Tribolium castaneum: one gene and its partner. Each later gene encodes a partner of the first gene's protein in a complex. Links are inferred from orthologs where the notes say so. Each region holds a gene or a part of one and is shown in the gene's direction. Other genes may lie near its edges.

The links. Proteins that work in one complex are often made in the same cells at the same time.
Region 2: nuclear pore complex protein Nup93 (region 1) and Nup54 share a complex: the UniProt entries of both Homo sapiens proteins name them as parts of the p62 complex. The link is inferred for Tribolium castaneum from reciprocal best matches to the Homo sapiens genes NUP93 and NUP54.

The regions. Positions count from the first base shown.
Region 1 is NC_087398.1:8,838,555-8,842,607, forward strand, and holds the start of nuclear pore complex protein Nup93, read left to right. Parts: upstream 1-1,249; 5' UTR 1,250-1,397; intron 1,398-1,526; 5' UTR 1,527-1,536; coding exon 1,537-1,700; intron 1,701-1,763; coding exon 1,764-1,944; intron 1,945-1,996; coding exon 1,997-2,287; intron 2,288-2,365; coding exon 2,366-2,508; intron 2,509-2,564; coding exon 2,565-3,084; intron 3,085-3,265; coding exon 3,266-3,479; intron 3,480-3,527; coding exon 3,528-3,898; intron 3,899-3,946; coding exon 3,947-4,053. Other genes in the region: vari (protein PALS2), read right to left, coding at 629-752. UniProt on the Homo sapiens protein: Plays a role in the nuclear pore complex (NPC) assembly and/or maintenance. May anchor nucleoporins, but not NUP153 and TPR, to the NPC. During renal development, regulates podocyte migration and proliferation through SMAD4 signaling.
Region 2 is NC_087397.1:2,066,919-2,070,884, reverse strand, and holds the start of Nup54 (probable nucleoporin Nup54), read left to right. Parts: upstream 1-1,160; 5' UTR 1,161-1,260; coding exon 1,261-1,318; intron 1,319-1,774; exon of another isoform or gene 1,775-2,450; intron 2,451-2,500; exon of another isoform or gene 2,501-3,244; coding exon 3,245-3,966. Other genes in the region: sra (protein sarah), read right to left, coding at 54-526, 572-764. UniProt on the Homo sapiens protein: Component of the nuclear pore complex, a complex required for the trafficking across the nuclear membrane.

The DNA.
Region 1 (4,053 bases):
CTTGTGCAGTAATAAAATTATTTATTACGATGTGCGCGATAACCGAAAAAGCTCTTGCCGTTCTTTTCAGGATCGCGGTAGATGCTGAAATGTCTGCGCTTACAGTGTACTGATCTTTCAGCAGTGGCGATTCTAGTCTGCGTTGCTATAGATACATCCTGAAGCATGCTTTCAGGCCCGGACTTATAATGGAATTAAAACTTAATAACTGATATGATATGTGGTAGTATTTACTTTCAATTAACATTAGCATCGTACATGTTAGTTTTAAGCAGTTATGTAATTATATTCTAAATGTCTGCTGATGTACATTAAATCAATTCAGAGAGCACATTCAATGTTTATTATAAATTTAAGAACAATTTTAAGACACTATCCACCTTTAAAAAATGGCATTGTGTTAAACAAAGCAAAATTATTTGAGAAGTATTTCTTTAACACATTTCTCTTATTACGAATAATATTAGGCATACCTGCACTGGATGCTAACTGTTGATTAGGTGATTGAAAAAACGAATAAATCCCACAGTGGCATAAAACTGACTCGATAATAATAAAATATTGATAGAACACACCAATATGTTAACTTAATTTAAAATATTGAATAGTTATGGTCAGTGGCATTTACCTAATGCTGAAAAATCCGTAGAAGTGCAGCTTCTTTTCACAACCCTTTTACACTGAAATGCCGGTTGGTGATTCTTAATGAAAGGTCTACATCCCCATTTAATTGCATAACAGGTGCGCACCATCGTTAAAAAACTTTACAGCACAATACAAGTCTATTCTGCTATTTATAAATGTTACTTAATAAATAATCGATAAAGAAAGAATACACGTTTTAAGGATGTTAAGCCATTCTATTAACAAAACATTTCAATTTCGCGACGTCTGTTTCATCAGAGTACGGCGTTAATAATAGAAAGAACGAACTCGCAACTGGAAAAAGCGTCAGGTGAAGCTTCACCCACGCATTACCTTGCTATCTGGACGAATTATCGATAAAGCTGGAACAGCTTTCAAAGTGATTTCCAGCACGACATCGACGCTCTATTTTATGTTTACGGTTTATGTTACAATAAATCGATAAAAATTTAGTTGTATTATACGAAAACAAAACTAAGAAATATACATTAGAAGATATGATTCCGAAAACTGAAAAACAAAACGAACTTGGGGATTTGTTCAGTTTCAGTGCGTCGGCAATCAGAATCACTGAAACTGAAATCGTAAATTTTGGGTTGCCTATATGTGCTGAAACTAGCTGAAAAAGTGTATTTTGGGTTACATAAGCAGCATCGTTTTTAACCGTTGCATGTTTGTAGCGGCATTTTTTACAAGAATTACAAAAGTTCACGAAAATACGTTTTAAATTGTGTGTTTGAACATCAATTCAAGTAGGTTTTTGCCGATAAATTGCTTCTTGTTATGAAATACATCAATTTTATGTATTTTTGAAGGTTATATTGTTGTCCTAACCCAACTTTTAGTTTCTTGTTTTTGATTATTTTTTCCAACATTTTTAGAAATATCAACATGGGCGACTTTGCCGACCTCCTCCAGGAGGCTGAAAAAATCACTGTTGACATTGAAGGGAGTAAAGAACTGCCAAAAGTTGATAGATCTATTCGGCAGGTCTTGGAAGCTTCTAACGATTTATATTCAAAAGTGGCTCAAACTGGAGCAAAGGACATTCAAGCGTATGTCTTTGACTTATTCACTGTTAACAGAATTAAATATAACGTGGACGTAACAAATTTCAGGAATTTATTGTTAGGATCAAAAGGCGTAGACTTGCCAAAAATAATACAAAAATTGGAATCAATTAGTACCAAGCGCACATTCGAATCCATTGAGCCGGTTGAGGACGTAAATGCAGTCGGAATTCTTGAAAATGAAATCCAAAACTGCATTTTGAGTGTATTTGAAAACGGTTTCAATAAAGTAATCCATACGTGGTTCCCAAAGTGTACATACGCATAATTACATATTGTAGTGCATGAAAACAATTTCCGACTGCTCTTGGGAACACCAAACTGGCGAATGGAAACAAGAAAAACGAAAAATCCTAAATTCGATGCTGGGACCATCTGGGGCTTTCATAGAAATTGGAAAATATTCATCCGTTTTTATGGAGAGGCCTATTTCTATTACCCCCAACTTAGGAGTGGCAGAGACTCTCTATGCCGCCAAGATTATGGAATACAATCAAGCAATTGGCAGGAGCATTCAGAAGCCAAGTCTCATAAACAGCTTCATCAGCGTGGCAAATGACTTGAGAGACGCCGTAAGTTTTTGCCTCATTTTGATATCAGACAAAATTTTAATGACAACATACAGTCGTTCTTAAGCTTAAAAATTTCAGAAAGTTAAAGACATGTGGGAAATAATGAAATACATGACTCAGTTGCCGCCGTTTCCTCAGTCAGAGGATCAGATTAAAACTCGAAATTCTGCCCCTTTCATAAACGCTTTGGTGAAACAAGGCAAGAAATATCTGGAAGATCGGTAATTTATTTTTCTAATTCAATGAAAAAAGACCACAATTAGGTAAATAATTCTAGATATAAGACGTATATGAGTAACATCATTAACGAAAACCTATCAACTGCGATGCTTGGGGGAGTTCCCGGAACTTATCCCTTAGTCCGCAGTTACGTCGGTGTTCGCCTCCAAGGCGAATATTCGGGCTTGAAAGATGACAAAATCGATGGAAGGCCTTTATGGCCCATGGTCTACTACTGTATAAGGAGCGGAGATTTAGCAGCAGCAATTTATTGTCTAAAGAAGAAAAACGAAAAAGAGTTTCAAGACATTGTTGCTATTTTGGAAGCAAAACTCAATAATCCTGACAGTCCAGATATTTACAAACTGGAGGATAATGTGCGCTACAATTATCGCAGACATGTACGTAACGAAACTGACCCTTTTAAGCGTATCGTCTGTGCGGTGCTTGGCTGTTGCGATGTCGTTGATGAGCATTCGGAAGTCGCCAGAACCGCGGACGATTATTTATGGTTGAAATTGAGCTTAGTGAGAGCTGATTACGAAAAGGACGACCACATTAAGTACAACGACCTGCAGGTGTGTACACTATTTACTTTACCCAACACGTTTATTAGTTATTGTATGCAACAATTATTGTTATTTGCATTACTATGTCCAATACTTTCAAGAAAAAGTTATTTGTTTTCAATTTTTACGTAACATTTAGTTGTTAACGCTCGTATGTGTTTCCCACATTACGTAATACACTATTCCTTAGCGGATGATTTTGGAAGAGTATGGTGAAGCTCATTATGACGCCATGAACCAACCCCACTTATATTTCCAAGTGCTCGCATTAACCGGTCAATTTGAGGCCGCTATTGAATTTTTGCCCCGAATTGAGAGGTACCGAGTTCATGCTGTCCATATGGCCATTGCCTTGAACGAGTTGTACTTATTGGCTGGCTCACGGGACAGTTCAGCACCACTTAGTATGTAAAAGTTTTTGCGATTGTTTGTTTACTTATGATTTTTATTAGTTAGTATTGACCCAATGGATGTGAAACCAAGTCGCCGCTTGAACCTGGCGCGTTTAATTATGATTTATGTTCGCAAATTTGAAATAACTTGTCCTAATGAGGCGTTGCACTACTTTTATATCTTGCGCAATTTTACCAATGAGGATGGAGTGAATTTGTTCAAGATTTGTGTGTGTGATCTGGCTATTGAAACCAAGGAGTACAACAAGATTTTGGGGGTCATTCAGCCCAATGATATAAGAACCAAAGGGCTGATCGACCAGTTTACTAACGCTGAAATCAGTGCGGAAAACATTGCTCAAATGATTGGCGATTCTTTGGTAAAGAAGGGATTATTCGAGGAAGCAATAGATGTGTTTGATTTGGCTGATGTGAGTGATACTTTAATAAACAAATATCGTGTTAATATTTTTTTACAGAATCAAGAGGAGGTTTTGAATTTATTTTGCACTTTGCTGTCACAAGTGGTTCATTTGCCTTCTCAACCAAACTCTCTGAAGGAGAGATTGTTGGAGAAGGGAAATAT
Region 2 (3,966 bases), on another chromosome or scaffold:
TGAGAGGCTCTGAAGCTCACACTTAAAATAACCTTGAAGACCTGTACAAATCATTAACTCCGTTCCGGACACGACGTCTGTGGCATCCTGCCTTTGGCCCCCACGCCGTCCGCCCCCAGGGCCGTGTGCACCACGATGCTGGGCTGGCCGGGGGAGGGGGGGTGCACCTCGTGCGACGCCCCCGGCGTGAGGGTGGCCAAAGCTGCAAGAAGGTCATGATTGATAATGGGCTCACCTTCCGGCCGGGGCTCCCAGTCGAGGGGGGGCGACGCCGGCGGCGAGATTAGGAACTGCTTGAAGGGGGCTGGCGGCTGCAGGCTGGGGTTTTTGACGGGGGTGACGGGTTGAGCAAAGTAACACGTAATCACTGAGTCGTTGATTTTGTATTGGTGGAGCTGAATGCGGGCGCTGGCGGCTGCCACGGGCGTCTGGAAGTTCACTCTCAGTCTTCGGAAACTGCGCAGCCACTGGAATGTCACGTCCGGGTCGAAGTTCCGGAACAGGTTCTCCATTTCGCGCTTTTTCTCTGCAATTTTACGGTCAGATCGGGTGAGGGCTGGGGGCGGATTACCGGGCGAGGTGAAGACACTGTCGTGGATGTTGGTGACGATGAGGGACGTCGGCAGGTCCTCGAACTCGTCGTCGGTCACATGCTCGGGGCTGTCGATGTCGGCCTCCGCCAGCAGGTTGGGGTGCACGTTGGGAAGGCCGTCTTGGTCGTTAATGATGATATCGTCGTCCATTTCGCCGTTGCTTTCAGCCATTGAAAAATTGGATTAAATTCACCGACACAGGATCTACCGCGGTTTAAACCCCATAAAACAATGCGCACTTTTTCGGCTAAACTAATCAAGGCTAACTCTTACGCTACTAAATTTTAACACAAAAACATTGCAATATCAAAGTGCAAAAAACACAACCCAACAATTGCAAATGCCAAATGTCAGGAATGAATGACACTTGACAAGGGGATGAAAGCCGAAAGTTCGCCAGCCCGAATTGAAATACAAAGGAATGAGCTTAAAAAAACGTAAAACCCTGAAATGGATAGATTTCCAGATAATTAACATAAACACATGAGCGACTTTTTGATTTCGTATTTTTTTGTACAGAAAACGCTGAAATTTTGTGAAATTGCCGGTGTATAACCTAGGTTTGAAGTTTGACAGTTCTGTCAATTCGTTAAGTTCAATTTGTGAATACATAAAAAATTGTAATTACTATTTTTATATAAATACTAACGTTAAATTTAATGCAGTTATGGCATTTTCGTTCGGAAATGCAAACCAGTCGACTTTTGGAAGCCCGGCAAATAAACGTAAGTTTTAGAACCGTAAGAAAGTTAGGTTAAGTTCTTTCTATTTTGTTATTTGGTATTCACGGTTTTATTTATTTTCCCTTTAAACCGTAATTAATGAGATTTAATTTTGCCCAAAACGCCTGACTAATGTTTGTGTTCTTAATTTTTAACCAGAAAAAATCGAAAAAGTGGCAGCGTTTTGTACCATTCAGACTCAACAATACAAATCACCACACTTTTTACAGATAAAATGTTAATTGGTGTTTTAAATGGTTATAAAATTTAATTGTGATGATTGTTAACGTGTGAGTAACAATTCAACAATTTTTGTTTGAAACAAATCGCTAAAAAATGTTTTGTTTAGTGTTTAACTTAAATTTTTTGTCACGTCTGTGCTGCACAGTACACAAAAGTAATTTCATTACTTAACTGATAAAACATGAAAAACTGGACGTGTTCAATAAAAAACCTAGATTATAATTTATAAACCAAGAATTTATTTCGGCAATAACATTTTGAGGATATAAATAAACCTACCTAAGCGAGTAACAAAAATATAATGATAGTAAAATATAACAGATTATCACAAATATAATTAATACGATTTCATTCTTCCGTTTGAGATGGTAACTTGGCTCAAATCGGTTGCACAATCAAGCGATCCTGAACGGCTGGCTTTATATCGCTTATAAACGACGATAAGAATGACGATAATTAAGAGCAGACTGACGATTATAACTCCCAAAACAACGTACAAAGTTTTTCCCTCAACGTCGTATCCTTCGTAATATATTTGGTTCGAAACATCCGTAGTTGAAGAAAATACGTCAAGTGGGGTTGAAGTTGTATTTTGTGTACTGTTTTTTATTTCGGCCACTGCTGAAGTGATGTTGTTTTCAAAAATACCGATTGTTTCGGTCGTACTGTCGGTCACTTCGGTTATCACGGTGGTAATCGTTGTTGTAATATTTTGAGAAATCTCAGGAGTGGTAGCAGTTTCTGCAGTAACCGTACTGTTGGTTATTTCGCTGATGAGGGTAGTAGCTGGGGGAGTGAAACTCTGCCCAATTTTGAGTACGTTTTGATCGTCTGTGACTTGAAGGGTCGTTCCAAAACTTTTAGTAGCCCCTTTGATAGGAAATGAGAATAGCTAGAATCGGAATTTTTAAATCCAACTTGAAAAATAAAAATTAAACTCACCGTAGGGCCCGACATTGTGCTTTTTATTAGCGAAGGAAAAACACTTAACTCTGCAAGAACTTATCGGCGACTGAAAGTTTCTTTCCACGCTTTGAATTTTTATCGCTGGTGTTTATATGTGCGAACACGGTTTTCCTGCTTTCCTTCCATTCGCAGTAAAATAACAACCCGGGGATGAGTCACAAAATGCTGTTTAATGCAATTTCTTGTGGTTGGGATAAATAAAATCCGTCATTTTGTGATAACAAATTGGGAAAGCGGCACTGCAGTCGAAAAAAACTTGTTTTGAAATTATCTACGTGTTTAAATTCTTTTTAAAAAATTTGACTGGAATGACACTTGAAGGATTGAAATAATTTCATTTATTTCGTGTTTATTTCGTTTTTGCATAAATTTAAGTCTTAACAACAGCGTATTTTTTGCACGATAAGTATTCGCATAGTTCAAGTTTGACTTGCATTTTTTACCGAGGAGTAGTTTCCGTTTGGTCATTTCCCCGTAACAAATACTTTTTTCATGGAAATTCTTTTCTTTTCGTTGAAACAACCCAAATAGAAAAATAAATAATTTCAGGATTGTGGTTTCGTAGCCATTTCCTTTGGAAAACTACAAATTTCGCTGAATTTATTCAATTTATTCGATTTTTCCTGAATTAAAACGCACACTTCTTATCGTCTTAGATTATTTATTAATTTTTGTAAACACCTAGTCATAGTTTTATGTTTTTCCAATGTTTATCCACAGCCACCGCATTCGGTACCCCATTTGGGGTAACCACCACCACGGCTAGTACCGGCTTCGGCAGTTTCGGCTCTTCCTTCGGAGCCACTTCGCAGCCGTCGACCGGTTTCGGCTCAACTTTCGGAGCCCCAGCTCAATCTTCAGGTTTCGGTAGTACTTTCGGTACTCCTGCAACTTCCACTCCAGCATTTGGTTCGACTTTCGGAGCCCCAGCATCAACCTCAGCCCCGACATTCGGTACCGGCTTCGGTCAATCGACCGGCGGCGGCCTTTTCGGTACTTCCACAACCAAACCAACCCTTTTCGGAACTCCCACCACTTCAACCTCGTTATTTTCGACCCCTAGTTCGGCCCCCAGTTTATTCGGGAGCGGTACCACCACACAAGCCCCAAGTCTTTTCGGGGGGGTCACCACCTCGACTCCTAGTTTATTCGGAGCTGGCAGTACCCCAGCTCCGAGTTTGTTCGGTACTGCGACAACTTCGGCCCCGAGTTTATTCGGGACTTCGTTCGGGGGCACGGCCACCACTTCGGGGGGGCTGTTTGGGGGGAGTACAACAGGGGGAGGGTTTGGTTTATTCGGGGGTACTACTACGACGAGTGCGCCGTCGTTGTTTGGGGGGTTTGGGGCTACGCAAACAACAGGGGGGTTTGGGGGTTTTGGGACTAGTGGAGGGTTCGGTCAACAGACACAAGGGAGTTTGTTTGGGGGCGGGTTTGGGGCC